Linked DNA regions of Stegostoma tigrinum. The protein of the gene in region 3 purifies or fractionates together with the protein of the main gene of each other region. This does not show direct contact. Links are inferred from orthologs where the notes say so. Each region holds a gene or a part of one and is shown on either strand. Other genes may lie near its edges.

What was found.
Region 1: the proteins of upf1 (region 3) and putative helicase MOV-10 purify together in Homo sapiens (affinity purification with mass spectrometry; 3 studies listed by BioGRID and IntAct, with this or other methods). This does not show direct contact. The link is inferred for Stegostoma tigrinum from reciprocal best matches to the Homo sapiens genes UPF1 and MOV10.
Region 2: the proteins of upf1 (region 3) and upf3b purify together in Homo sapiens (co-immunoprecipitation; 16 studies listed by BioGRID and IntAct, with this or other methods). This does not show direct contact. The link is inferred for Stegostoma tigrinum from reciprocal best matches to the Homo sapiens genes UPF1 and UPF3B.
Region 4: the proteins of upf1 (region 3) and upf3a purify together in Homo sapiens (affinity purification with western blotting; 5 studies listed by BioGRID and IntAct, with this or other methods). This does not show direct contact. The link is inferred for Stegostoma tigrinum from reciprocal best matches to the Homo sapiens genes UPF1 and UPF3A.

Annotation. Positions count from the first base shown.
Region 1 is NC_081374.1:4,742,902-4,750,831, reverse strand, and holds the start of putative helicase MOV-10, read left to right. Parts: upstream 1-4,912; 5' UTR 4,913-5,176; coding exon 5,177-5,313; intron 5,314-7,930.
Region 2 is NC_081368.1:16,065,208-16,072,989, forward strand, and holds the start of upf3b (regulator of nonsense transcripts 3B), read right to left. Parts: upstream 3,019-7,782; 5' UTR 2,912-3,018; coding exon 2,801-2,911; intron 1,614-2,800; coding exon 1,507-1,613; intron 1-1,506. Other genes in the region: ndufa1 (NADH dehydrogenase [ubiquinone] 1 alpha subcomplex subunit 1), read left to right, coding at 3,236-3,337. UniProt on the Homo sapiens protein: Involved in nonsense-mediated decay (NMD) of mRNAs containing premature stop codons by associating with the nuclear exon junction complex (EJC) and serving as link between the EJC core and NMD machinery.
Region 3 is NC_081383.1:306,347-314,133, forward strand, and holds the start of upf1 (regulator of nonsense transcripts 1), read left to right. Parts: upstream 1-4,770; 5' UTR 4,771-5,020; coding exon 5,021-5,191; intron 5,192-7,787. UniProt on the Homo sapiens protein: RNA-dependent helicase required for nonsense-mediated decay (NMD) of aberrant mRNAs containing premature stop codons and modulates the expression level of normal mRNAs.
Region 4 is NC_081359.1:66,907,469-66,915,001, forward strand, and holds the start of upf3a (regulator of nonsense transcripts 3A), read right to left. Parts: upstream 3,003-7,533; 5' UTR 2,881-3,002; coding exon 2,764-2,880; intron 2,627-2,763; exon of another isoform or gene 2,514-2,626; intron 1-2,513. UniProt on the Homo sapiens protein: Involved in nonsense-mediated decay (NMD) of mRNAs containing premature stop codons by associating with the nuclear exon junction complex (EJC) and serving as link between the EJC core and NMD machinery.

The DNA.
Region 1 (7,930 bases), on a different chromosome or scaffold from region 3:
TCTCTTGCCTTAAACTTATGCCTTCCAGTTTTGGACTGCTTACCCTGACAAAAAGATCTTGTCTATTTCCCCAATCTGGGCTCCTCATGATTTAAAAACATCTGTAAAGGTCACCCCTCAGCATCCCATGGTCCAGGGAAAATAGCCCTAGCTTATTTAGCCTTTCCCTGTAGCTCAAACCCTCCAGTCCTGGTAACATCTTAGTAAATCTTTTCTGAACCTTTTCTAGTTTCACAACAGCCTTCCTATAGGAGGGAGACCAGAACGGAATGCAGTATTCCAAAAGTAGCTGAACCAATGTCCTCTACAGCTGCAACATGACCTCCCAACTCCTATATTCAATCCATTGACCAATAAAAACAAGCATGCCAAACCCCTTAATTGTCCTGTCTACCAGCAGCACCACTTTCAAGGAACTATGAACCTGCACACCAGGGTCTCTTTGTTCGGCACTCTGCAGTTCTCTGTTTACAAATACTCTGACTTTACATTCTTTTCACCAATGTGAAAAATACCATCTTTTTCAACATTGTACTTCATCTGCCACATTTCACCCACTCACTCAATCCATTTACCCTTCTGCAATCTCATGTCTTCTTCACAACACACTATTCTACCTATCTTGGTTTCTGCTTAAACACTGAGATGAAACTGCTTTAACTTGAATTGAATAAGCTTTATTCTCATGTACTCAGATGGACACAGTGGAAACTTTATAAGTCACCACTTACAGTACCATCTTAGATACAAAGTTATTTAGGTACAATCCTTAATTACAGAGTAGAGAAATGATGAAAAATATTACATCACAGCTAAACACAGCATAACCATTAGGTCAGACAAGAAGCAAAGTTAAAAAGACAAGCATTACATTTTCTCACCAAAGGCTTTCCGCAGCAACAGACTGATGCAAGGGTCCTCTGCATGGTCTGGCCACTGGGCTGCTGGCATTCCCACTCCTATCACTGGCACCCAGTTCCAGGCCAGTTGTAGACATGTTTTCCCTGGATCACTGTTGTCCAGGTGTACCTATATGCTGCAGCCTTGACACATCAGCTGGTCTGTCACCTTTAGTGGATTCTAAATCTTAGTATTGTTCACTTATTTATTTTAGTTTGTATATATTTACCACCAATTTAGACACTATGTTAGAACTTGGAATAGACTAGATCTTAAGCTCGTAGTAAATACTCACCGAAGAGCTGGCTCCTTTCCCTGTAAGTGGAACGATAACAGTTCTTTCCGGGTGAGAAAAGCAAAAGCAAGCAAACACCTCCTGCCCCCTCCAGCCCCTCCCTCCAACCACCACCATCAGACCCCACAATGCACCATACTCCCACACACAAAATTCCCAGGTTTGCACTCAATTTCCTTAGCTGCAAAACACATCGTAGGAGTAAATATGATACCACATACAGAAATTAGAAGAGTAAAGCGAAGACTTACACTTATACAATACTTTTCATTATTTCTAGGATATCCCATTGACTCATGGTTGGAAACATAGGAAATAGGATCATGTCTTTCAGCCCATTGATCCTGTTTCACCATTCAACATGATCATGGTTGATTTTCAATCCACACCATTGTCCTCGTCATTGCCCATGGCCCTTGATGCTCAGTCACATGTCACAAATTTCATTGATGAGAACAGAATTGAGTAAAGGGTTAAAAAACACTGACCATCATTAGCCAGATCCAGTACTTTGAACTGAGTTAAGTCACTCACTATCAGCTCTGAATCACCAGCTTGTGGATTTTTGACTCCACGCTTTGACTCCAGAATGCTACTGAGGGAATACTGACTGGTTTGCAGCCCAACAAGAAATTTTCACCACTTCTGTTTATTTTCCAGCTTCTGCTTGGTTGCTGATATCGTTGGCCACTTTTTCATAGCACTATTCAACACAGAAGTCCATTGCACCTGTGCCAGCACTTCGAAAGCACTGACCAAATATGCAGTCTCACTGCATAGTGTTTCTTTTCTGGGGATTGGCTGTCCACTAATACCTATTACAAAACTGGCCACTTCCATAATTACCACAAATACACTTCCTCATACCCTGCTTCCTGCAGGACTCCAGTTTGTTCTCCAGATTTCTTTGTCTCCCTTGCATCTGTCCCAATGATGCCACCTTCCACCAGGCTGTCTCTGACAACCTCCTTTTTCCCTCAACTTGGGAAGTTCCCCCCCCCCACTGTGGTTGACAGGGTCTTCAGTCATGTCTGACCCCTTTCCTACACTTAGGTTCTCACTCCTTTCAAGAACAACAGGGATCCTTTTGTCCTTACTTTCCACCACACTAATCTCCACATTGAAAGGATCATCCTACTCCATTTCTGCCACTTCCAGCCATTAATAAACGCATCTTACCCAGCATTCCACCGGGACTATTCCATCCCAAACCCCTAGTCCACTGTTTCATTTGTCCTAACACTTCCTCACTCCCATTCAATCAGAGAATGTAGCACTTGCCCTTTGGCTTCCTCCCTCCTCCACTTCAGGACTTTACAGCCTCTAGAACTCAACACTGGATTCCACAACTTCACAGCATGACCTGTGTCCTCCACTTTGAGCACAGCAACCAACACACACCCCCGGGTGCACAAACACAGACCCCCAGCCATATCTTCTTTGTGTATTTTTCACTTTGCACCCAAAAAAGCAGACCTATTTTCTGCTTTTCACACCTACCATTTTACATTTCTATCACTTTTTTACGCCATTAGCACTCCTCTGTCTTTTACCCTGGGATCCTCAGCATCTGTCGCATCGGATCCCCCCAACTAGCCCAAGAACCACAGATTTCCTGCCCCTGAGCTAGTAGGAACTTCAGATGCTGGAGAATCTGAGATAACAAGGTGTAGAGCTGGACGAACACAGCAGGACAAGTAGCATCAGAGGAGCAGGAAGGCTGACGTTTGGGGTTCTGACATAAATAGGGAGAGAGGGGGAGGCAGATAGGAGATGATAGGTGGAGAGGAGACAGACAGGTCAAAGAGGCGGGGATGCTTGTGAAGTCCACATTGATACCATTGGGCTGCAGTGTTCCCAAGCTGAATATGAGTTGCTGTTCCTGCAACCTTCGGGTACCATTATTGTGGCACTGTAGGAGGCCCAGGATGGACATGTCTGTGGAATGGGAGGGGGAGTTGAAATGGTTTGCGACTGGGAGGTGCAGTTGTTTAGAATGAACCGAGCGTAGGTGTTCTGCAAAGCGGTCCCCAAGCCTCCACTTGGTTTCCCCGATGTAGAGGAGGCCACAACGGGTACAGCAGATACAGTATACCACATTAGCAGATGTGCAGGTGAACCTCTGCTTGATGTGGAAATTCTTCTTGGGTCCTGGGATGGGGGCAAGGGAGGAAGTGTAGGGGGAGGTGTAGCACTTAATGCATTTGCAGGGAAAAGTGCTGGGTGAGTTGGGGTTGGCGGGGAGTGTGGAGTGGACAAGGGAGTCACAGAGAGAGTGGTCCCTCTGGAGAGCAGATAAGGGGAGGGAAACGTCTTTGGTGGTGGGGTTGGATAACAGATGGCGGAAGTGTCGGAGGATGATGCGTTGGATCTGGAGGTTGGTGGGGTGGTATGTGAGGACAAGGGAGATTCTGTTTTGGTTGTTATTGCGGAGACGGGGTGTGAGGGATGATTTGCGCGAGACACGGTCGAGGACGTTCTCGACCACTGAGGGGGGATGTTGCGGTCCTTGAAAAACGAGGACATCTGAGATGTTCGGGAGTGGAATACTTCATTCTGGGAGCAGATGTGGCGGAGTCAAAGGAATTGGGAATAGGGGATTGCATTTTTGCAGGAAAGTGGGTGGGAGGAGGTGTTCCAGGTAGCTGATCCAGAATATCTATTCAGTTCCTCCACCATTTCTTTCTTTCCTATTATTACTTGTAGACATAATGCCCCAGCCAAGCTGTTCCAGCACAGTAACAACACTGGCATCTACCCAACGATGTGGGAAATTGCCCTGGCATGTCTATACACAAAAAGCAAGTCAAATCCAACCCAACCAATTATCGTGCAATCACTGCTCTCTCAGCCATGGCAAGTGTAATCAAACGTGCTACTAGGTAGTGGAGCTGGATGAACACAGCAGGCCAAGCAGCATCTCAGGAGCACAAAAGCTGACGTTTCGGGCTTAGACCCTTCATCAGCTTTTGTGCTCCTGAGATGCTGCTTGGCCTGCTGTGTTTATCCAGCTCCACACTTTGTTATCTTGGATTCTACAGCATCTGCAGTTCCCATTATCAGTGCTACGAGGTAGTATCTGCTTAGCAAAAACCTGCTCAGTGACACCCAGTTTAGCTTCTGCCAGGTCCATTCATCTACTCACCTCATTATAGACCTGGTTCGAACATGGACAAAAGAGCTAAATTCCAGAAGTGAGGTGAGAGTGACAGCTATTAATATCAAGTCTACATTCTACTAAGTGTGGTATTAAGGCTATAAAGGTCCTACAGAAGCAAATATTTTCGCTGATAATAAAATGTGAGGCTGGATGAACACAGCAGGCCAAGCAGCATCTCAGGAGCACAAAAGCTGACGTTTCGGGCCTAGACCCTTCATCAGAGATGTGATGAAGGGTCTAGGCCCGAAACGTCAGCTTTTGTGCTCCTGAGATGCTGCTTGGCCTGCTGTGTTCATCCAGCCTCACATTTTATTATCTTGGAATCTCCAGCATCTGCAGTTCCCATTATCTCAAATATTTTCGCTATCTGGTTAGGGCCTGCCCCAAGTGCCTGCTTGTCGTTAAAAAAGAAATTGGGTGTTGCAAATTGCATTTGCAAATGGGCAATATTGCAAATGTTCTGCTAAACTTATTTCATATCCCTGGGTTTGCACCATCCATTTCCCATTTGTAATATAATACACCCTGGGTTTGCATCACGGTTGAACCTGCTGTTTAGGCCAAAATGATTCATTCGTATCCCAAGTGTAACTATGATTCGAGAGTAAGTTTCGCTTTCGTTTCCAGTTTGAATTTTAATTCGGTTTACAGAAACTCGGAAAACAAACGAGTTGATTCAATTGTTGTCGACCCTTCTGTAAAGCTGCAATACTTGTTCAAACTTTGAACCCCGCCCCCTTGTTTCATTTACTCCGTTTCACTGCGAGGCCGGTGTTGTTCATTTCAGTTGGTAATTTAAAAAAAAAACAAAAAGCATCGAAATGCCCAAGAAATTTCGCCTCAGAGAGTTGCGTGAGGTGGGGCTGAAGTTTATGGAATTTCTAAAGGACACGAAGCGAGAAGAAGTGACCGACTTGAAGGCCATTAAAAATATTTACAATTCCGAATTCCGTGGCAGGTAACGTGTCGTTTATTCTGTATCAATGAATCCCAGCGCGGGTCGGGCGTGTTTGCTACTTTGCCGGCGTGTATCCAAACTATTGCTACTTTTTAAAAAGAGATGTTAGGGGTTTCTTCACTTGAGTGCACACCTGAAATGTCTTGATTGTTAGTCGCTGCTGAACAGCATGGCTTGGAGCTTACAGCAACATTTGGAATCCTTGCAAGAGTTAAAGGGAGTAGTTTCAGTTCGGGAGGGAGGATGGGTGGGGATAGTTCGATTGGCTGTTATTGTATGAGAAGCATTTTGTTGGAGTTTGTGGAGCTTTGTTTCTTTGTTTCTTGGTTGATGTTGTGGCGGATACTTGAAATTGGCTGTTGTTGATTGAGACATGAATTTTCTACTGGAAATGGCCACCACTTTCAAGAAAGAATGTGGAAATAATCAAACAAATTAATTGTCCCCTTTTTCAAATGTCCCCCAACCTCATCTGCTCCCCATTACACCCTTGCCTGACCTAACCCAGGCCACCTGCCCCCCATTCTCTTCCTCACCACTCTCATTTTATTGCCCCCAATGTATCCCTCACGCTATTCCCCTCAGTTCCCTCAATCCACTCCTCCCACCTTACCGCACTGCTCCTCATGCCAGACAGACATTTTGCTTCTTCACCCTACATGCCAACTTGTACCCAGACAAAAAAATAAGTAAAAGTTGTAAATGACACTCCCTAATTCGACTTGTATACCTTAAAATGGAGTTTCAGCAGCATGTTTGATTCCAAATATAACTGTTCTGCTTTTTTATTTGTCTTCTGGGTAAAGTTCCATAGAAGCATAGAAAATTGAAAGAACTAGGCCATTCTGTCCATCAGGTCTGCTCTGCCATTCCATACAATCATTCAACTCAATATCCTGTTCCCACTTTCTCTCCACACCTTTTGATCCTGTTGGCCCTAAGACATAAGTCTGGTTCATTCTTGGTTCCACTTAACTGGAGATAATATCCTTCCCCAATATTGCACTAATTATTCAGTTCCCATTCCTGGTCACTATGCAGCCACATCTCCTTAATCCCAACTGTGTCATACCTGTTTGTGTCTATCTGTGTGACTAATTCATCTACTTTATCGTGAATGCTCTGTGTGTAATGACACATTGTCTTAAGACTTGGCTTTGTAATATTCTACGCCCATTCACCTTATTTAACACTGTGGTCCTGTATGATTCATGCCCTTGAATTCTCTGCCCATTACTTTTCTTACTTCCTATTTTGTTTGTTTAACTGTTTATACAAGATTAAACAATATTCACTGGATTCAAAACCAAAAGCCAATTCTTATTCTTTTGAAGAGTCTTAGTGGGCCAAGTGGAACAGAGCATGACAGTAGGCCGTTCAGCCCTTTGACCCTGCTCTGCCATTCAGTAAGGTCACATCTGATCTAGTAATGGCCTCAGTTCCGCTTTCCTGCCTGCCCTCCCCATAACACTTGACTTGCTTGTCTATCAAAAATCTATCTATCTCAACCTTGAGTTAATTTAAATACTCACCCTCTACTACCTTCTTGGGAAGAGAATTCCACACTCTGAGAGGGGGGAAAAAAAATTCTATCTCTTCGTTAAAAACAAGACCTCTGATTCTTAACAAAAACCAAATTACTACAGATGCTGGAAGAAGTAGGCCATTCAACAGAAATTGCTGGAGAAATTCAGGCAGGTCTTGCAGCATCTGTGGAGAGAAAGCAGGTCAGTGTTTCAAGACTGATGACTCGTTTGTTCTTCAAAACAGATACTGGAATCAAAACAGTGACTCTGTTTTCTCCCCACAAATGCTGCCAGACCAGCCATTTGTTTCTTTTTCTCTGACTCTTGAACTGTGTCCCCTAGTTCTAGTATCCCTCACAAGAGAAAATAACCTCATGAAATCCATCTTACCCAATCCCATCAGGAACTTGTTTCAATAAAGTCACCTCCATTTTTCAAAACTCCAATGAGCATAGGCCCAACCTGTTCTTACATTTTTCATAATATAAGTCCTCAATCCAAAAGTGAACAAAGTGTGGATACTGAAGATCTGAAGGAAACAGAAAGGGAAATTGCTGAAGAAACTCTGCATGTCTGGGAACACCTGTGGAAAGAAATCAGATTCAGTGTTTCGAGACCAGTGTCTTTTTTCTTGGAGCGGTGACTGGACTCAAAATGTTACTCTATTTCTCTACCAAGATAACAAAGTGTGAAGCTGGATGAACACAGCAGGCCACACAGCATCTCAGGAGTACAAAAGCTGACGTTTCGGGCCTAGACCCTTCATCAGAGGTCTAGGCCCGAAACGTCAGCTTTTGTGCTCCTGAGATGCTGCTGGGCCTGCTGTGTTCATCCAGCTTCACACTTTGTTATCTTGGATTCTCCAGCATCTGCAGTTCCCATTATCTCTGATCATTTCAATTTCTGTACCAGATCTGCTAAGTTTTTCCAGTGGTTTCTATTTGTAGAAAAGCTTTCCTACTTGTATATTCCATTACCCATGCCATAAGCAACAGTGTTTCATTTTCCTTCAAATCACTTGCTGTACCTGAAAACTAACTTTCCATGATTCATTTATCAGGCCATCCAGATTCCTCTGCAATCTCACTCTG
Region 2 (7,782 bases), on a different chromosome or scaffold from region 3:
TATAGATTCCTTGCATGGAACTTACTCGCTAACTTACAATTACTATTGTAAACTCTCTGCTTCTTCCTGTCTCATTTTACTTGTCCTCACCCTCATCACTTAATGTTCCGTTGCCTCTAACTTTGCCCTTGGAATTTCTACATCTTTCTTCAACTTGGTCCTGCCCCCTTTTGTAGGCTACACGTTTATTTTGTTCAGAATTTGAACCAGTGCCTGAATACTAGACAAAAACTCAAATAAAACTTTTGCATTTAACTCAAAAGGTTGAAATGTATTTTTGAAATTACTGTTGATACAGTAGTTTAAAATCAATAAACAAAAGCAAAACACCAGATGGAACTTCCCCAAAAGATCAAACACAATGACTCATGAAGGATTTACAACAAAAATCCACTTGACTAATTTACTAAAGATTATATGCCCTGAAATCACTGTCCAAAAATCAAGCTGTTTGTAGCCAAGGCTTTACACTTAATATCAAAGCACTGATGCAAGCAAGCAGTACAGAAATGCTTCCTGCAGCATGAGTCAAACAATGGTTATGCTCAGTTAGAAACAGGTGCAGTGACTGACTTGAGACATTATTGAATCTTAGCACTGTGGTATACTAATCTTTGAGCAAAGCTGAACTCTAAAATAAATCAATTTAATCACATATTATACATATTTGTGTTTATTTACAACTGCTGTAACATTGCTGTATGGTTCTGAGACCTGTAGTCATAGAGGCAAGTGCACACAACAGCATCTATACTGAAATTAAATACAAAACACTGCAGAATCTTTGGATAGAGAAACTTCAGTTCTGAAGAAATTCCTTGACATGAAACGTTAATCTGTTTCTGCCTGATGCTACTCAGTCTAAGTATTTCCAGCAATTTCTTCTTTTGTTTCAGACTGCTAGCAATGCAATAGTTTGCTTTCGTTTACTGCCCCAGTGCAGCTGGTGTGAAAACTGTAGACAGTCTGCCAGAAGAGAACTATGCTTTTGCTCATCCACATCCCTCAGGACCACATTAAATGTTAGATTTGGTGAAGCAGCACTTTATTACATGGCCGTAATATAGTGCACTGCAAAGCCCAAATAACTATATGCACGGTACAAAGTATAGGTTGTAAATGACAGCAATCTGAAAGCTTTTCACATGCCACAGACAACTGGGATCTGACTTTGGAGTTGAGTTGACAGCTTTATTGACCGCATATTGAAAACTATTCCATGGTCCGTCAGACTTACAATCTATGTGACTTTAAAATTGTTTTGCTATATACGCACAAATTGAACTAACATTTCTCAGTTCTAAGATTTCATCAGATGACATGACCATGAATATATCACCACAGCATCTATATCTGATTAATATCAGAGGTGGTTTAGGCCCTCATAATAAATAAGAGTTAAAAAGAAAATAGATAGCAGCTCCTCTGGCTTTTAAGGCACCTTGATAATGTGGCCCTTGTGATTTAAAAGAAATTTGATAAAATTCTGTCATAGTAACAACCTACCTTGAATTGGTAGAGAAAAACTCGAAATAATCATGCTCAGGCAAAGGGGCAAGTTGCTCTTCTAATTGCTCTTTTGTTAGACTTGGAGGCAAACGACGGATCACCACCTGATGGATAAACGCAGTTCAATATCTATCAGCTACTTCTTTACCAAAAAAAAGTCAAATGTCAAAGCAATTTAAATTGAGAAACAGATCACACAGATTAGGTACCTAGTGAGCTACTTAAGCTCTCAACATCCAAATTACAAAAACAAGAGCAAACAATCCCATTACTACAATTTAGCAACAAAGGTGACGACCCTGCTGTGATGAGAGCCCAATCAATAAAGTATTATGGAAGAAACATCCTAATGACAAAACATTCATCAATAAAGAAGCTACTTTAGCATCAGGATCATTTAAACATTGCAAAATGTTAAACCTGTTTTTCTCCACAGATGCAGCTTGACCTCGAGTACTTACAGCATTTTGTTTTAAGACAAATCTGAAGTATTTGGAGAGCTAATCAGTAATTGAGAGGCAGCAACAAGATCCAGGAATGACTCAGCCACAAATTCATTTTCATACAATATGCAATTCTCCGAGATTAGCGTGGTCGTCACAAGTAACTGTGCTTCTCACAAAGAGGTAGAATAATCATTCATTAAAATTACGTACAGAAAACGGATTGTGAGGGGAAACCGGAAAGCAGCCTAGGGCAGCCTAGATCTGAGGAAGGATCACCAGACCCGAAACACTAACTCTGATTTTTTTTTTCTTCATAGATGCTGCCAGACCTGCTGAGCTTTTCCAGCAACTTCTGTTCTTGTTCCTGATTTACAGCATCCGCAGTTCTTTCGGTTTTTATCCAGAAAATAGGCTAACTGCCTCGGAGCATTGCACAAACACTCTGACAGCTTCAAGTAGTGAGGTAAAAACCAAAAGAACTGCGGATGCTGTAAATCAGGAACAAAAACAAAGTTGCTGAAAAAGCTCAGCAGGCCTGGCAGCATCTGTGGAGGAGAAAACAAGAGTTAACATTTCAGGTCCGGTGACCCTTCCTCAGAACCTGAAGCAGTGAGATTTTAGCCATGATGGTGAACACGGATTACGAAGGAAGCCATTTAGGCGGAGCCAAAAACCAGAAATTTCTGGAGAAACTCAGCAGGTCTGGCACCATCTGTGGAGAAAAAAAGTTAATCTTTCGAGTCCAGTGATCCTCCCTCAGATGAGGGCTGCAGTTCTTTGTCTTATTTAAGTGGAAACATTGCCTCCTGGACTGTATCCTGGCTGAGGCCTGTTGCTTCACAAACCTTGGTCAAGACCTCTTTTTTCTCCTTCTTTTCGGGTTTCTCTGCCCTTTCCTCATATTTGACCTCCACTTTCTTCTCCCTGGGTTTGGTATTCTCCTTATCTTCCTTCATGCCTTGAGGAGGCAAGCTGCGGCTTCGAAAATAAACAGGCCTACCCCGCTGACAGAGCCAACTCCAACTGAGCCGGCTAGCCTTTGGCTCCCTGTCACGTCACTCAAGCTCCGCCCCCTCTTCTGATTGGTCCGCGCCGGAGGGGGAAACGGTTTTTGAGGCGTGGTCACCACGGACCAATCGCCACGGGGCTTGCTGCGCAAGATTCCCCGCCCTCTCCTAGGAGAGGCAGTTATCGCGAGAGGAAGTGGTGGGGAAAACGAAGTCCCTTGGGGTTTGTGTGTGCAGTGGGGTCTTGGCGAAGGTCGCTGTGAGCGAGTTGCGATGTGGTATGAGATCCTGCCCGGGCTTGTCATCATGGCCGGCTGCCTGACGGTGCCTGGCCTCGCCACCATCTACGTTCACAGGTGGACGAACGGCGGTAAGGTAAGCAGCGGAGCTTGTAGCCGTTGTCGGTTGGCCCTTTCGCTGAGGGGCCTGTGGGGGCTGAGTCAGATTCTCGATCTTGAAAGGTGATGGGAAAGTTTGGGAAATTGCACGTTTGGAATGTCGGATCAGCCGTTAATGTATTTTATTCATTGAGGAAAAAAGAGTATACATAGTCACTGACAAAACAGTGCGGAGCTGGAGGAGCACAGCAGGCCAGGCAGCGTCAGAGGAACAGGAGCAGCTACTGTAAGCGTTTCTATACTGGCTTTGCACATGAATAACGTACAAACATCTAAATTTGGCATTCTCTGCATTTGCAAAAATAAAACAAGGCATTTCTTTCTTCAGGAGGGTTACATTGATATGTATTGAGGTACTAGAGGTATTTCTAACAGAGCTCACTGAGATACATAGCAGAAATTGGACTCCTGACTTATCCACCACAGATACTGAGGCAGTTGTTGCTGGTTAAATCTGAGGGATAACAGTGGTGAAAGTGTGCTGTGCTGTTTGCAGTGTCAACTTTAAGGTGAGACAGAAAAGTGAGAAATGGATAAATGAATGGACCAGAGATAATGGGAACTGCGGATGCTGGAGAATCCAAGATAACAAAGTGTGGAGCTGGATGAACACAGCAGGCCAAGCAGCATCTCAGGAGCACAAAAGCTGACGTTTCGGGCCTAGACCCTTCATCAGAGAGGGGGATGGGGAGAGGGAACTGGAATAAATAGGGAGAGAGGGGAAGGTGGACTGAAGATGGAGAGAAAAGAAGATAGGTGGAGAGGAGAGTATAGGTAGGGAGGGGATAGGTCAGCCCAGGGAAGACGGACAGGTCAAGGAGGTGGGATGAGGTTAGTAGGTAGGAAATTGAGGTGTGGCTTGAGTTGGGAGGAAGGGATGGGTGAGAGGAAGAACAGAGTAGGGAAGTGGAGACAGGCTGGGCTGGTTTTGGGATGCAGTGGGGGGAGGGGATGAGCTGGGCTGGTTTTGGGATGTGGTGGGGGAAGGGGAGATTTTGAAGCTGGTGAAGTTCACATTGATACCATTGGGCTGCAGGGTTCCCAAGCGGAATATGAGTTGCTGTTCCTGCAACCTTCGGGTGGCATCCTTGTGGCACTGCAGGAGGCCTATGATAGACATGTTGTCTGAAGAATGGGAGGGGGAGTTAAAATGGTTCGCAACTGGGAGGTGCAGTTGTTTATAGCGGGAGACGCGGTCAAGGGTGTTCTCGACCACTGCGGGGGGGGGGAAGTTGCGGTCCTTGAACTTGGACATCTGGGATGTGCGGGAGTGGAATGCCTCATCCTGTGAGCACATGCGGCGGAGGCGGAGGAATTAGGAATAGGGGATGGAATTTTTGCAGGAGGGTGGGTGGGAGGAGGTGTGTTCTAGGTAGCTGTGGGAGTCGGTGGGCTTGAAATGGACATCAGTTAATAGCTGGTTGCCTGAGATGGAGACTGAGAGGCCCAGGAAGGTGAGGGATGTGTTGGAGATGGCCCAGGTGAACTTGAGGTTGGGGTGGAAGGTGTTGGTGAAGTGGATGAACTGTTTGAGTTCCTCTGGGGAGCAAGAGGCGGCACCGAGACAGTCATCAATGTAACGGAGGAAGAGGTGGGGTTTGGGGCCTGTGTAGGTGCAGAAGAGGGGCTGTTCCACGTAACCTACAAAGAGGCAGGCATAGCTGGGGCCCATGCGGGTGCCCATGGCCACCCCCTTTGTCTGTAGGAAGTGGGAGGAATCGAAAGAGAAGTTATTGAGGGTGAGGACGAGTTCGGCTAGGCAGATGAGGGTGTCGGTGGAGGGGGACTGGTCGGGCCTGCGGGACAGGAAGAAGCGGAGGGCCTTGAAGCCATCTGCATGAGGAATACAGGCGTATAGGGACTGGACGTCCATGGTGAAAATGAGGTGCTGGGGGCCAGGGAATTGGAAGTCCTGGAGGAGGTGGAGGGCGTGGGTGGTGTCACAGACGGAGGTGGGGAGTTCCTGGACCAAAGGGGAGAAAATGGAGTTCAGATAAGTGGAGATGAGTTCGGTGGGGCAGGAACAGGCTGAGACAATGGGTCGACCAGGGCAGGCAGGTTTGTGGATTTTGGCAAGGAGATAGAAATGGGCCATGCGGGATTGGGGAACAATGAGGTTGGAGGCTGTGGGTGGGAGGTCCCCTGAGGTGATGAGGTCATGGATGGTGTTGGAGATGATGGTTTGGTGCTCGGAGGTGGGGTCATGATCAAGGGGGCGGTAGGAGGATGTGTCGGAGAGTTGGTGTTTGGCCTCGGCGATGTAGAGGTCAGTGCGCCATACTACCACTGCGCCACCCTTGTCTGGGGGTTTGATGGTGAGGTTGGGGTTGGAGCGGAGGGCTGCCCGTTCTGCGGGGGAGAGGTTGGAGTGGGTGAGAGGGGTGGAGAGGTTGAGGTGGTTAATGTCTCGACAGCAGTTGATGAAGTGGTCGAGGGAGGGTAGGATGCCTGGGGGTGGTGTCCAGGAGGAGGACTTGTGTTGGAAGCGGGTGAAGGGGTCAGTGGAGGGAGGGCTAGGCTCCTGGTTGAAGAAGTAAGCGTGGAGGCGAAGGTGGCCGAAAAACTGCTGTGTCCAAACGTGACTGGTATTCGTTGATGTGTGGTTGTAGGGGGACAAAGGTGAGCCCCTTTTGCTTAGGACTGACCATTCATGCTCAGTCAGTGGGAGGTCTGCGGGGATGGTGAAGATTCAGCAGGGCTCAGTGTGGCTGTCTACTCTGGGGTTGTGGGTGGAGCAATGAGGTCGTCTGCCGTGGGCGGGGTGTACTTTGTGTACCCTCTGTGTACTTTGGCAGAAAGTGATCTATTCCAGTTGTGCCTTGGCAGCAATAGCTGCCCCCAGCTTTAGTGCACCCCTCACCACGTAGTCCTGGGCCTTGGAATGTGCCAGTCTGTAACACTCGGTTGAGGTCAACTCTTTGCACTGGAAGACTGACTGGAGGGGCCAGATGGCCCACACCTAGCCCTATGTCTTACAGTCTCCTCTCTTTTCTGTTCCTACAAACATACTTTTATGTCATGGGGTTGGTTGACCAACGTCAATTTGAATTGGAGTAGCTCTTTTAAAGTGTCGCGGGTTCTTTTGAAGGAGTGTTAATGAATGAGCCCTTGGAAGGCCCCTCTCCTCCTATTTTTCCAGTCTGTATCCTGAGAAGGGTAAAAAAACCTTCCTCGCTTTTCTACCTCACCTTAAAGTTGACATGGCAGACAGTGCAGCACTCCCTCACTACTGTTATTTTGCCACAATAACCAGCGGAATTGCCTCAGTACCTGTGTTGAATAAGTTTGGAGTCCTGTTTCTGCTGTGTGTCAGGAACCTCTGTTAGAAATGCCTCTGTATGGGCATCAGTTGAAGAGGATCATCTACAAGATAGAAGTCAGGAGTGTGATGAAATTGCCAGATTTCTGAAGGGCCCAGACCCGAAATGTCAGCTTTCCTGCTCCTCTGTTGCTGCCTGGCCTGCTGTGTTCATACAGCTCTACACCTTGTTATTAGAGCATAGAACAATGCAACGCAGAACAGGCCCTTCGGCCCTCTGTTGCGCCGGCCTGTGAACTAATCTAAGCCTCTCCCACTACACTATCCCATCATTTATCCATATGCTTATCCAAGGACTGTTTAAATGCCCCTAACGGTTCTGGGAAAGAAGTGGGACAATGAGGGGCAGATGGCAGCCATTCACGTTGGACTGTTTGTACCTGAACAGAGCTGGCACTGAGGTCTCTGCAACATTTTATCTTGGATTCTCCAGCATCTGCAGTTCCCATTATCTCTGCAGTTTTAAACCTGTCCACAGAAGAATACTCAGCTAACTTGGATCCACGGCCACTTGAAATTTATTATTTTGGTGATGTCTTGCAGTTTAGTATGCTTTTTATGAAGTGTCTTTCGGTGCATCCTTGTGTTGTGGTAAATCGTCCTCCAAAGTTTGGGGCTGCAATGCAGCCAAGAGGTTTCTGCACATAAGCAGCCCCCTTTGAGTAGTTGTGCAAAAATCTTCAGGTACCGTAGACTTAATTTGATTGTACACTTTTTCAAAAGAAAATTGGTCCAGCCTTTTCTAGGAGAACTAATGCTTAGCTCACCTGATCATATTAGGGAGAGTCCTTGTCATGCACTCAAATATGAAGCCTCCCTGCTTCCTCAACAGAGGCAAGTAGGAAGCAGTGAGACTGCAGAAGGCCTTGGACAAGAGTGGGCAAGCAAGTGGCAGATAGAATTTCCCCATTTTGTATTCCGACGTTTTGCATTTTGGTAGGAAGAATAAAGGTGTAAACTATCTTCTGTGTGAGAAAAGACTTCAGAAATCTGAAGCACAATGGCACTTGAGAGTCCTAATTCAGGGTTCTTTTTTAAAGTTAACATTGCAGAATCAGTTAGGAAGGGAAATGCAATGTTTGCATTCAGTTTAAGACAGCTAG
Region 3 (7,787 bases):
TGTTTTGCTCAACTGAAGCCAGATTTCTTTATTTCTGGATTGAAAACCTCTGTGATAAAGGTTGACTGTGATCTATGAACAAAAACACCTGTGTCCCTGTCTGAATCCTCTTTGTATCTTTCTCAGAACTCACATCCCATCTTGTTTTGTGTCATCTTCGATAGCCAGAGACTTTTCCCCAGGGCAGGATTGACTGCCATGAGGGGTCATAGTTTTAAGGTGTTAGGGGAAAGGTATAGAGGAGACGTCAGAGGCAGGTTCTTCACCCAGAGAGTTGTGAGCGCGTGGAATAGTTTACCAGTGGTAGTCATGGAAGCACAGTCATTAGTGACATTTAAGCGACTGCTGGACATGCACATGGACAGCAGTGAATTGAGGGGAATGTAGGTTAGTTTATTTTATTTTTGGATTAGGATTATTCCACGGCACAACATCATGGGCCGAAGGGCCTGTACTGTGCTGTACTTTTCTATGTTCTATGTTCTATCTACAAACTTGGAAATATTACATTTGGTCCCTATATTTGAATCGTTGATATAGATTGTGAAAAGCAGAGATCCATGCATTGATCCTTGAGGTACCCCAATAGACATTGCCAATTTGAGAGTGACCCACCTGTCTCTCCCTGCTCCTCATCTTCTTTTTACATACGTATAATAGCTTTACAATCCATGTTTATATTTCTTACTAGCTTATGTTCACAATTATTCCCTTTCTTTATCCATTAAAATTAATGAGAAAAATAATCACCAATTAAACAACTGCTGGTTTTCCTGTGTTATCCCATTTTGATTTTTTTTCCTCAACTCAGTCAGTCCACATTGCAGCCAGACTAAACTGGATTGGATGTTGCACCACGCTGTTCTGTTCACATTCTTGCCTCTCACGCTATTCATGCCGCCACCCTCACGCTGTTCACATCCACTCCACACCACGTCCCCCACACACTGGTCCTTTTCATTCACTGCAACCCCACTTTACCTCTGTTCCTGTCTAACCACTTGGCATTCACACCCTTCTACCTGAGTTAACATGATGTTTGACATGGCGGATCTCATGCAGGTGGTAGTGTTCCCAAGCATCTGCTGCCATTATCTTTCTATAAGTAATAGGGGGTGGGTTTCTAAGGTATTGTCAAAGAAGGCTTGGTGAGGTGTGGCAGTTCATCTTTCATTTGATTTGATTTATCGTTGTCGCATGTATCTAAGTGCAAAAGTTGTGAGTAGTACAGGTAAATGATAGCAAACAAGGATATACAGATCATAGACAGAACGAGGCATACAGGTTATGGCTGCACAGAAGGTGCAAAACCAAGGTCAAAACTAGCAAGATAATAAAATGTGAGGCTGGATGAACACAGCAGGCCAAGCAGCATCTCAGGAGCACAAAACTAGCAAGATCAACATTATTTGAAATTAGAGAGGTCCATTCAGCAGTCTAACAACTGCAGGGAAAAAGTTGTTCTTCGACTTGTTGATGTGTGTTCAAGCTTCAGTGTTTTAAATGGTACCAGTCAAGATTATGATGAAATATTCTCTGCTTACCTGGACAAATGTGGCTCCATCAACACTCCAGAAGTTTAACATCATTCAGGGCAAAGCAGCCTGCTTGACTGGCACCCAATCTGACACCTTCAATGTTCACTAGTGACATACCATCTACAGGGTGCACTTCAATAACTGACCAAAAGGTCCTTATTGAAGTGGGGAAACACTCAGCATTGGGTGAGGTTGCAGATGGCTTGGGGAATGCATTGTTCTAGAGGCTTTGATGCTGGGACAGACGTACTGAGAGGTAAGGTGTCAGTGAGACAGGAACACTGAGCCAAGGACATTTTTTTATTGCTTCATGGAATGTGGGCTTTGACTCTTAATTATCTGGCTGAAGACAGATTCTCGAGACCTTTTAACTATTGGTGGACAAAAAAGCAGACCCTGAATCCACCTCAGTTTCAACATGGATTCAATCCAACACTGTTGCTGGCTGATCTACATGTTAGTCATGTAGCCAACAGAATGAACCTGGGTGGGGGAGGAAAGGGAAATAGGGTGAAATTGTGTATGAGCGAGGGAGATGAGGGATTGATGTGGATGAGAGGGTGGTTGAGCAGGAATGATAGGGGTTTGAAGGTGCCCAAGAACTAATGAGCAGGGTGAGGGTTGGGTGAGAGCAGTGAGTGAGGTGATGGTGAAGGTGGCAGTTGGTGTGAAACAATAAATGGTGAGATTGGTCGGGTGTTGAGAGTGGTCAAGGGGATAGGAAGTATTGAATATGCAGGTGGAATGAGGGTTATTTGTTGTGTAGTTGGGGGTGTTTGGTGATTCGGTGAGTGAGATTGAAAGACTGGATTGGTAATGTGGAGGAATGAGGTTTGCAATGTTGGGGTGATGGATGACATAAGGCTGGGTGATGATCATGTGGGTGAGACTGAGGGGTTAGGGAGATAGATGAGAGAGGGATGATATTGGGGATATGGAGTAACTTAGTTTGAGAAACTTGGTCAACATGGGTGTATTGTACTGAAGAATTTGTTTCCATGCTGTATGACTATGTTAAACATGTGGATGCCGGGATGTGAGTGCTGTTGGGGTGGATTACGTGAATCAGGTTAAGTGGGTGAGTGTGGGAGGAGGCTGGGATTTGGGATGATGAAAGGGGGCTAAGGTGGCTGTGGTTGAGTTGGGTGATAGAATGAGGTGTGTTTTGGGTTTGGGTGGGCTGTTTGAGGGAAGTGGGCATGTGGGTGGGCTGGATGTAGTGGAGAGGACTTGGGCTGTGTAAGGGGAAATAGAGGGGTAGCTTTGAGGTTGTAGGCATGAAATGATGGTGCTGTGGGGTATGTTGGTTTGTGTAAAGTGGGGAGTGGGATATTTGAGTGATGGGGAGAGGAGAGGCGGTTTAAGGGCCCTGGGTTATTGGGGATGGGTGTGAGTGGATTTAGAAGTCTGTTTGAGGGTGTTAGAGGACATGAGGAGTGGGAGTGTGAGGGGTCTGTGGGGGTTGGTGGGCTATGAGGAGTTAGGACGTGAGTGGTTGGAGTTGGTGGTGTGTGTCTAGGGAGTTTGGTGAAGTTTGAAGGGGTGTGAACTATGTGGGTGTGAGGGCACCAGTGGGTGTGAGGTGATGAAGTAGGTGGGTTGTGAAGAGATTGTTGGCATATGATAATAAGGGATGTGGGGGGACTGGGGTTGGAAGTGTGAGGGGGTGGGATAACAGGGGGTTAGTGGGGTGATAATAGATGTTGCTGTTGGGGTAGGTGTGGGCTGGTGGTAAGGTTGTTGCGGTGGTTAACATTGTGGAGTGGGAGTGCAGGAAGGTGGGTATATGTGAGGGTAGACAGTTACTGGTCTGTGAGGGGGTTGGTGGTAATAGAGTGCTGGATAGTGGATGTAAGGGGGAGGAGGAGGGGTGGAGATGGGGGTTATAAAGGCATTGGGGGTTGGAAGTGGTGATGGTGGGGACGGTGGTTATGATCTGAGGATGTGGTGATGGTGGGTCCAGGGCTGGGGATAATAGAGTGAGTGTGGAAATGGTGATGCTGGGGGTTAAGGGTGAGGATTGGAGATGGTGGGGATGAGGGTGGGGAGGGGACAGGGTGGTGAGAGTGAGGGTTGGCATGGAGCAGGGTGGTGAGGGTGAGGGTGGGCATGGGACAGGGTGGTGGGGTTGAGGATGGGGCAGGGTGGTGGGGGTGAGGATGGGGATTGGACAGGGTGGTGGGGGTGAGGGTGGGGATGGGACAGGGTGGTGGGGATGAGGGTGGGCATGGGGCAGGGTGGTGGGGGTGAGGGTGGGGATGGGACAGGGTGGTAGGGGTGAGGGTGGGCATGGGGATGGGGCAAGATGATGGGGGTGAGGGTGGGGATGGGGCAAGATGGTGGGGGTGAGGGTAGGCATGGGGCAGGGTGGTTGGGGCGAGAGTGGGGATGGGACAGGGTGGTGGGGCTGAGGGTGGGGATGGGGTTGGGGCAGGGCTGAGGATAATAGGGTGAGTGTGGGAATGGTGATGGTGGGGGTTAAGGGTGAGGATTGGGGATGGTGGGGGTGAGGGTGGGGATGGGACAGGGTGATGGGGGTGAAGCGGGGATGGGGCAGGGTTGTGGGGGTGAGGGTGGTGATGGGGCAGGGTGGGGGGGTGAGGGTGGGGATGGGGAAGGGTGGTTATGGGGCAGGGTGGTGAGGGAGAGGGTGGGGATGGGGCAGGGAGGGGGGTGAGGGTGGGGATGGGGCAGGGTGGGGGGGTGAGGGTGGGGATGGGGAAGGGTGGTGATGGGGCAGGGTGGTGAGGGAGAGGGTGGGGATGGGGCAGGGAGGGGGGTGAGGGTGGGGATGGGGCAGGGTGGGGGGGTGAGGGTGGGGATGGGGCAGGGTGGGGGGGTGAGGGTGGGGATGGGGAAGGCTGGTGATGGGGCAGGGTGGTGAGGGAGAGGGTGGGGATGGGGCAGGGAGGGGGGTGAGGGTGGGGATGGGGCAGGGAGGGGGGTGAGGGTGGGGATGGGGCAGGGTGGGGGGGTGAGGGTGGGGATGGGGAAGGCTGGTGATGGGGCAGGGTGGTGAGGGAGAGGGTGGGGATGGGGCAGGGTGGTGGGGTGGGGCTGAGGGTGGGCATACTGCGTGTGGGAGGGAAGATTGGGTTTGTGGGTGTCGGGGTAAATTTCTCCCGCCCACTCACTTAGCGCCGCTCTCCTGTGGATTACGGCATCGCTTCTTGCTGGCGATGACGTCACCACAGGTCCGGGCGCAATGACGTTTCTGCGTGCGTCACGACGCTGTGTGCACTACGTCAGCGCTGCGGGGGAGTTGCGGCTCTCGCTGGGTTTCTCGGGCCGCTGCCGAGCGATCGATTCCCGAACCCGCGCCTACCGGCCCTTTCGCTGCCCGGCTCCCCGCCGAGTAGGCTCAGCCAAGGCCCGGCCTCGCTTCGCTTCTTCTCATCCGCCCGGCGCGTGCTGCGCAGCGGTTGTTCCCAGGGTTTTGAATCGCGCCGGGGGCGAGTGCGCGCTCCCGAGCCGTGGCCGCCATGAGTGTGGACGCGTACGGGCCGAGCTCTCAGACTCTCACCTTCCTAGACACGGAGGAGGCCGAGCTGCTTGGGGCCGATACGCAGGGCTCCGAGTTCGAGTTCACCGACTTCACTTTACCGTCACAAACACAAACACAAGGCCAGAGCCAAGGGCCCATCGAAGGCCAGGTAAGGAGCGACGGGGCTTCCCGCACTTCCCCCCCCCCCCCCGCAAGGAAAACACGCCAGTCCCAGGCCGCGCGGCCTAAACACAGGATGTACGAACTAGCCCCCTTCCCCACTCGAGCCTACTTTTCCGTGCGGGCTCTGAGTGTAGTCCCTCGTTGCTGCTTCAGCTTCGGCTGTCGGGTTTGTCGGCTAGGACCCACATGGAGGGCAGGAAGCGGAGGCGAGAGGTGGCGAAGGCTGGGCCTTCAAAGGCCCGATTTTTTTTGTGGTGGGTGGGTGTGGGGGTAGTCACTCTTGCTGTCTCCCTGTGTCCCTTCCCTTTCCCCCCACCCGAGCCACACTACCTTCACTCCCGACAGACCTGATATGTCCTTCCTCTTCTCCCCACCCTGTGCAGTACCCCGATGGCACTTAATGCTAGTGGAAGCTGTAATAGATACGATGGGAATATACGGAGTGAGGAGCTGTTGAAGTGTTGGTTGGAGGGAGTAGTGCAAGTGGGCTGCTGGTCTGAGAGAAGGTTGTTGGAATTAAGGGAATGAGGCTGGAGCTCCCTGATATGCTAGATCGATTTTTGTGTTTTGTGTGTAAGTGCTGATGTGAAAATACACAGGATTCTCCACATTCTGATTTCCCTGCTGCTGCTTCTCAACTTCATGAAAATAAGCCCCAATTCAACTGAACTCCTGTTGCCAGCTCCATTGGGTTCATTTTAGTTGACATATGCAACCTGAGGCTTTGGGACAATGATAATTTGGTGAAGTGAAGACCCTCCACCTAACCACCCAAAAGCAGATATCAGGTTGCCACTGTTTTGGAAGTGAGAGAAAACTTGCAAAATACCTGTTCTTGTTTAAAAGTGACAGTTGGTTGCATCAGCAGCAGGAATAAGTGCAATAAAATTCCATGTAAAGATTCTGAGTGACCCACCTTTGGTATTAGAGTATTACTACTCTACAGTGGCCTGAGAGAATAGGCATTGTATAATCCAGAGACGATGAAAATTGCAATAAGTGCAGGTAGGAAGACAAGTTAGATGTTTTGACTTCAACAAGAATTATTGGACTTGTGGGTGAATCATGTATTTGTAGTTTAGTTGTTTTGGCCATTAGAACTTGTGAAGTTGTTGAGGTCAGAGTAAGTCCCCATATACTCGGTCCTCAAAACATCAGGGGTAAAACAACTGAGGGAACAGTTGTGTGGATTTCTAGCGTGGGGTATATTTAGAATTCTTAAAGTTCAGTTGAAGTGGTCGTATGTTTCTCAAAGCTCATGAAAACACCACACTACATTTTATAAGCTAAGTATTTATTTGAACATTATAGTTGAGCCAAAATTACAGTTTGAACCATTTCAATATTGTATTGATGTACCGTGATGCTGGGGTAGTAAATAATGGGCTTGGATTTGAGGCAAGTACTGAATGCTGTTTGTTGTTCTGATGTACTGTCATACCTGTCAAACATTTAATCTCACTGGAAAAATAGCATGTTGAAGGAGCTATGACTTGCATTTAACCACACACCTAAGACAGAGGGTAATGACCAGCATTGCAGCTGTGTGTATTTGTATGTAAATGTACAATATAGAACAGTATAACAGAGGAACAGGCTCTCTGGCCCACAATATTCTGCCAACCATGCTGCTGTCATTAACAAATCCCATCTGCCTGCACAAAGTTCATATTCTGTTATTCATGTGACTGCCTAAATGGTGCTTAAATGTTGCTATCGCATATCCTTCTGTTACCTACTTTGGCAGCGCATTTTGGGTACCTGCCACCTTTTTATAAAAACATTTATTTCGCACCTATCCTTTTAAACTTTCCTCCCTCACCTTAAACCTGTGCGTCCCAGTATTTGACATCCGAATCCTGGGGAAAAAAGACTCTGAGGATTCACTCTATCCATGACTTTCTAATTTTTATATACTTTTATCAAGCCATTGTTTTCCCCCTTCCTACAAAAACTTCGATCCTAACAAAAACAGTTTGTCCTGACCCGAAACGTCAACTTTCCTCTTCTCTGATAATGCTTAGCCTGCTGTGTTCCTCCAGCTCCAAACTGTTATCTCTTGACTTCAGTATCTGCAGTTCTTACTATCTCTGAGTTAAGTTTGGCCAGTCTCTCCTTATACCTAATATACACCAGTCCAGGCAACATCCTGGTAAACCCCTTTTTGCATACTTTCCAAATTCTCAACAGCAATCCTTTTGTGTGGTGACTAAAATTGTGCGCAGTACTCTAAATGTGTGTGTAAGAAGCAGTATAATGCTTCATTAGAAACTTTTTAATTTTGATTCTATGGTTGCAGTTTAGGTTAAGGTGTGCTTATGGACATGTTTTATGTTTGACTGGCAATATGGCAGGGGGCACGTAACCATGTCCAATGAATTATTGTGGGGGGAAAAAAAACTCAGGTTGGTTGTGATGCTTCAAGCTGTTTAAGATATATTCTGTCAGCACAGTCCTGACTCAAAACGTCAACGTTTGTACTACTCTTTTGCCTGGCCTGCTGTGTTCCTCCAGTTCTAAACTGTTGTTATCTCTATCCAGTAACATGGTGTTTTTGGTGACCTCTGCTGGTCAAGGTTAAG
Region 4 (7,533 bases), on a different chromosome or scaffold from region 3:
AAGTTTGACGGAGATGTGCGAGGGAAGACTTTTTTTTAAAAACAGAGGGTGGGAGGTCTCTGGAACACAGCCAGGGGAGACAGCAGCCACTAATTTTATGAGGCATTTAGAGAGACAAATTAACATAGAGGAAATAAAGGGATACGGACCAAATGCAGGCAAAGGGATTAACTTATAATAGCCTCATGGTCAGCGCAGATATGTTGTCCAAAGGACCTGTTCCTGTGCTCTGCTGTTATATGTTCTCATCAGTGAGGGGAGCAGAGAAATTAAGGCAGCTGATGTCATGTCGACAGTTCTCAATAAAGAGATGAAATGCAGAGAAGATGACAGAAGGCTGGGTACTGAAGATCGGTGAAAGGGTCCATGGAACAAAGAGGAGGGGTCCTGTCCAGCGAAGTAGGCAAGGAGGCAAAGGCAATGATCAAAGAAGAGTTTGGCATCACATTGTGCAGTATGGTGGCTCAGTGGTTAACACTGCTGCCTCAGAGTCAGGAGCTGGGTTCAATTCCTCGGTGACTGTGCCTAAAGTCTGCACGTTGTCCTTGTGTCTGCATGGGTTTCCTCCCAAGTTCAAGGATGTGCAGGTAGGTTATGTGGATCAGCAATGCTGAATTGGCCCATAGTGCCTAGGGATGTGTGGACTGACCATGGGAATTGCAAGGTTACAGGTACAGGGTGGGTCTGAGCAGGAAGTTCTGAGGAGGTTCAACTGGCCAAATGGCCTGCTCCCACACAACTAGCCCTGTTCATTATGCAATGCCAAATCTAAAAATGCATTTCCCCTAATTGGTTCCAATTTTGCAAAAGCAATTCCATGAAATCAGTCAGTGCATTGAGTACAGGGGTTGGGAGGTCATGTTGCAGCTGTATATGACATTAGTTCAGCCACTTCTGGAGTACTGAATGCAATTCCAGTCTTCCTGCTATAGGAAGGATGTTGTGAAGCTAGAGAGGGTTCAGAAAAGATTTACAAGGGCATTGGCACGGTTGGAGATTGAGCTGTGGGGACAGGATGAACAGGTTGGGACTATTTTCCCTGGAGCTTTGGAGGTTGACACCTTATAGAGATGTATAAAATCATGAGGGGTATGGATAGGGTAAATAGGCAAGGTATTTTCCCTGGGTGGTGTCTAAAACTAGTGGGCATAGTTTTAAGGTGAGAGGGGAAGAATAATAAAAGGGAGCTAAAGGGCAACTTTTTCATGAAGAGTGTGATGCACATATGGAATGAGCTGCCAGAGGAAATTATGGAGGCTGGTATGATTACATTTAATAGGCATCTGGATGGACATATTAATAGGAAGGGTTTAGAGGGATATGGGCCAAATGCTGGCAAATGGGGACTAGATTAGATTCCCTAGAGTATGGAAATAGGCCCTTTGGCCCAACAAGTCCTCACTGCCCCTTGAGGCATCTCACCCAGACCCATCCCCCTATAACTCACACACCCCTGAACACTACAGGCAATTTAGCAAGGCCAATCCACCTAGCCTGCACATCTTTGGCCTGTGGGAGGAAACTGGAACACCCAGAGGAAACCCACGCAGACACAGGGAGAATGTGCAAACTCCGCACAGACAGAGGCTGGAATCGAACCTGAGTCCCTGGGGCTGTGAGGCTGCAGTGCTAACCACTGAGCCACCCCAGATATAGGATATCTGGTTAGCATGGACGAGTTGGACCCAAGAGTCTCTTGCCATACTGTATATCTCTATGATTCTAGAACTGATCTTCAACCTCACCTTTGCTAATTTGATTGGTCCAATCTGCGTAGAAAATCAGAAAACAATAACCCGGAAATTGCTGGAAAAGCTCAGCAGGTCTGGCAGCATCTGTGAAGAAAAACCAGAGTTAATATTTCGGGTCCGGTGACCCTTACAACGAATACACCGCCTTTATCATAAACATCTTAATGCTCTCATGTCCATCTGCGACGACAGCATCCACGTGTAATCGGCCAATCAGTAAATTTACAAATAAATCACGCAACGATAATCAAAGCTTTTCAATTATAAATTTCCTGTTATCGCTGTGTGCAAAATACTGATCTCTTTAGCGAAAAAAAACACTTTTAGAAACATTTTAATATGTATGGCTTGTATTGTTGGTGTCAGTTTTAAAGCATTGATGTAAAGAGGGAATATTTTCAATAAAGAAATTAAATTCCCTTCCCTCTATAACGACGACCTGAACGAAATCACAATAACTGGCAACGTGAAGTGTGGGACTACAGGTACGCAGATTGCGCAAAATGCTATTCTTCCATTTTAACCCAAAACGGGAATTGCACCACTTCAAAGCAATTACTTTTTAAAATATCCAGAACCAGTCTCATATCACACGATTGGGGATCACAAAAATTTGGGACGAGAATTCTCGTTACGTTATCCAGCATGATGATGGTTGTGAAGTCTGACTATGACAACATATGAAAGAGGACAGGACAATGGCCGTTTGATTCGTTGGAAAATTTTAGCCTCATCGATCTTAAGCGCGTGGATGTGCATTACCGCAGCAGTATGATGCTGAAGATCAATCGGTAATCAACGAGCAATCCAACGGAGGCATAATTGCAGCCGCGTGAGCCACCCTTGCACTCGAGGCCAGCTCGCGATCTGTCAATCACCGTCCGCCTCATCATTTTAACTCCCACGTCACCATGGAGACCCCGCAACGCTCTAGAACACACACCCACCCCCCCCAAAAGAAAACGGCTTTCGTGCTTGAGGGAAGGAAGAAAGCGAGCAGCGCAGCCCACACCTTAGTGAGCACCTCCTTTTTTTCATCTTTCTCTTTGCGTTTCTCCCCTTCCTCTCTGTCTCTGAACTGGATCTCCACGCGCCGCTCGCGCCCCTTGTTCTCTTTCTCTTCTTTCATTCCGCACACTCTTCACTCCACCGCCTATCGCTCGCACACTCTGTCAACCTCTTGCTGTGCTCGCACTCGTGTTGACACATCTCGCGATGACGCGCACGCTCACAGGCCTCCTCCCACGTGATGCTCCCGGATGGGCTGACTCCGCCCTCTCCAACCGCCCAGCGGGGTGCGTGTTGAGGTGACTTGTTACTGTTTTTGACGGCATCTGCGTGGATTTCGCTGGTGTATCTAAGGGCTTGCAATATTGGAGCGATACTTTGTCTTCAAAGTCTCTACGTTTAAAGATGATCACAGAGATAATACATTTATCTATTGACTATGGAACCGATCCTTAAGTAGTATAGGATAAATTCCTGAATAATATCGTATTAAATTGATGACGTTGTAAAACCAGTTCAGTATGTATTGAGGAAAGTCCTGGCTGCCTCCAGGCTTGATAGATAAAGGTTGAAGATCTGGAAAAGGGCAGTGACAGCTACAATAGGATGGTGGCAATGAAATAATCTGAAAAACAGAGAGTATGCCTTGACTCAAAGGATCTAAATACAGATCTGATAAATTCTCACTACCCCACGCAAACCATTAAAGAAATTTTGTAACAACGTGAAAGGGCAATTTTATGTCACCACCCTAGATGTGAAGATGGGTTACTAGGAAATGAAGCTGAATTAAGACAGTAGCTTTCTTGCTACAATCTGAATGCGGACTGGGCTTTAGAAATAGTTGTACAGAAACAGAAAAACTCAGCAGGTCTGGCAGCATCTGTGGAGAGAGCAGAGTTAATATTTCCATAAGACCATAAGACATAGGAGTGGAAGTAAGGCCATTCGGCCCATCAAGTCCACTCCGCCATTTAAATCATGGCGGATGGGCATTTCAACACCACTTCCCTGCACTCTCCCTGTAGGCCTTGATTCCTTTTGAGATCAAGAATTTGTTGATCTCTGACTTGAAGGCATCCAACGTCCTGGCCTCCACTGCACTCTGCGGCAATGAATTCCACAAGGCCACCACTCTCTGGCTGAAGAAATGTCGTCTCATTTCAGTTTTAAATTTACCCCGTCTAATTTTAAGGCTGTGCCCATGGGTCCTAGTCAGGTCCCCAATGCTTCAGAACCCTTTAAAACCTGAGTCTTCCCACCAATTTCTATTTTTGCTTTTTATTTCCAGCATCTGCAGTTCTTTGGTTTTTCTGTTCAAATCATTCCATAGTTGTGATGGAGAAACACTCACAACGTTCATTCTGTTTTCTCTCCAATGACATGGCCAGATCTGCTGAGTCTTTACAGCAATTTCTGCTTTTGTTTCAGATAGTTGTACATTCAATTTGGCATTTCAAAAGCTCCAGAGAAATATCAAGGTAGGCAGCATGAGATGATGAATGATGTTCCTGGAGTCAACGTGATAGTGGATGATGGATATGGTGTATTGGGCATATACAGATGAATTGACAGTCTAAGATTGCGTATTATACAAAGCAAATGGATTCATTGCTCCCAAAGAGTTGGAATGAGAGATGCCAAGTAGTTTATGGATATGGAGACATAATGAATGATCCTGACCATATTGAAATCTATTATGGTTGCTGGACAGAGATTGCCAGCTGAAGCTAAACAATTAAAAATAATAATTAGGATACTCAGAAGCATGGACATAGGTCATGTATGGACAACAAAAATTCTTTCTCTAAGTTCCAAAAAGGTGAGAACTGTAACAGCAGTGGAGAGACCAATAGATATAGTAGCAGTCCAACAATTTGTTGGATTTATAAATCAGGTTATCAGATTGAGTTTTTGGATATAGTCCCAAAACGTCAGCTTTCCTGCTCCTCTGATGCTGTGTGGCCTGCTGTGTTCATCCACCTCCACACTACATTGAGGTTTTGAGTGTTGTTAGAGCCGTACCCATTAAGCAAGTAGAAAATATTATACCAAACTCCTAACATTGGGAGGTGGACAGCGTTCAGAGAGGCAAGAGGTGAATTACTCACTGCAGAATTCTTAGCCTCTAATCTGCTTCACCCTGCAATGAGATGCCAATAAGACAAGATTTGCCCTAATATCACAGAGACAGTTGGCTGGAGGTATCATCTGGATGGAACATATGAGCAAAGCAAACACATGTGCACGGCTGAAATGCTGTCAAGGCTAGGGTCTATTATATAGGAAGTTGAGGATGATGCATCAGAGTGTAAAATCTTTTACATCTAATATGAATCATCTACTCAACATGTTCTGGAAGCCAGAACACAGCATTAAAATTGAGTTTATCAGACCCCAGTCAAGAAAACCATCTAACAAGATCTAAATTTTCAAGTGTTGTAAGAAGTGATGAAGGAAGAATGGTCTGAAAGCATCAAGGACAGTCCTGTGGTTACAAGGGTGTACTGGGCAAGAAGAGATGAATTGACAGTCCAAGGTGGCATAATGTATGAAAACAAACAGAATCGTTGTCCTGGAGAAGTTGAAATGAGAGATGCTAAGTGCATCCATGCAAGGCAGCAATGGAAATGAGTTGAATTTGTGGAAGATAAGTTTCTGTTTGATAAACATGAGCAATTAAATCAAAGATCACATCAGCCAATGCATTGCCTGTGATGCATGCCAGGCTAGAGAGTTGTGGATCACATGACATTTTGGATAGACCATGGATGAAGCTGGAACTGGATCTCTTCACTCTTGCAGGAACTGATTATCTTGTCACCGTAGACCAATATTCTGATGACTGGGAAGTCGACCAACTGATTTATTCAAGTACTGAGATTGTAGAATACCTGAAAGCACACTTCTGTCATTTAACTGCTCTTTGCCTCTGAATGCCTCCTTGATTGTTTAATATATTCAACAGTGCAACTGAGACTCTCCAGATGTCTGTTTAACAGGTAAAAGCTCATGAGAACATTACATAAATATTGATTGGTTACCTTGTAAGTGCAAGGTAGTACTGAGTGCAAATTATGCAGAACAAAGACTTGATTCAAATAACTTATTACTATTTTTTGAAAGGTAGAGACGTAACAATTTATAGAAATCATAGTTATGTATGCTTTTACTGGAATTTCATGCTGGAAGGATGTTTCCCCTTGTGGAGGAACTATAACTACAGATCTCCCATTGAATATAGAGATATATTGTGTATAAAAGTGTAAGAGACTGAAAAGGGTAATGCTGAGGAGCGTGTCAAGCACCACCGAATTTGTTGATGTTGCATGAATTTGGGCTGGAATAGATTTGGTTTGCAAAGGAGTAAAACGTAACATTACTCATTATCTCAGTAGCAAATGTCTATCATACCAGTGCAATTAGTACTTGTTGCTATCATGCAGTAAACTACATCCTGCTTAAAGCAGGAGCCTGTTCTCAACAGGCTACCAGGTAGGTTCCCTCTACCAGACTAGATCAAGAAGGCCCTGGATGTCTTCAAGGTAAAGGATAATGACAACAAATTACCAGGCAAATCTAATATCTCGATGAGTTATAGAGCAGACTCAGCTTACAACCTGGTAGCAAGCAGTGCAGATGCTATTTAGCTGTAGCATACAAAGTCCTACAGACACTGACGAGCGTGAAGAAAACTGCTCAACTAGGCAGCAGTTAAAAGAGATGAATATTTCAAAACCTTACAAAGGAAAGTTTCAGGACAAGATTCTGGAAGGCAAAATCTACAGTTGATTGTAAGAAACATTTCAAACCTGGTAAGGAGCATACAGCAGCAAGAGTGAGCTAGCAACATGATGGAGCACCAATCAGTGCAGATAATTTGTAAGACTGGTCCTGATTCAGGTTTCAGCTGAAGAGCAGATAGACATGTGGGATGCTCTGGGAGTAAAGGTTAAATCCCTGCTGGGCAAGGGATAACATTTAAAAAAAGGCATAGTTTACAGGTTGTGATACCTTCAAGTAAGCACAGTACTTACATTTTTTCAGAAGAAAGGTCCCAACTCGAAACATCAATTTCCCTACTCCTCTGATGCTGCTTGGTCTGCTGTGTTCTTCCACCTCCACACTGTGTTATCTCTGACTCTAGTATTGGCAGTTCTTACTATCTCACAGTACTTACAAGTTCAGATTGAGTGTTGCTGCCGTAAAAGCAGGCATAAGGCATAACTACAGTGAAAGGGCCAAAGAAGCAATTCAAGACACAGCCGCAGACCTGAGAATCTTACAGGGCTAGAGTTAAAGTGATTAAGGGCAAATTAGAAACTATACAGACAAAGTGCAATAGAAGAAGAAAGGTAGGACATTATTGAGGCTACAAACAAGGCAAGAGATCCATTATTTGAACCGTGATAAATGGGGGGAGCATTTATTAAAATTTCACATGGCAGAACTGATCGAGAAAAAAGTAGTGAAGCAACAGGGCTTATTAATAATGCCACAGTGCTCATACTCTGTTTTGTGGTCTTCCTCATTTTGCCAAACTATTGATCTTGTATCCTGTTCCTCACTTTGCAGATTTGAGCAATGTTTGTATTTACCGGTGGCTTTTTCTGCTCTCAGTCAGAGTGGCCTCCTTCCTTTAATTGGCTCCTTCTGGCATATAAGTGAGTCAGTGCCAACTTTTGGTAATTGATAATAGCTTTATCCAGTTCTTCAAAATCACTGTGCCCATCTTCAGTCTACCCTAGTCCACTTAACGGATAACAGATGTGTG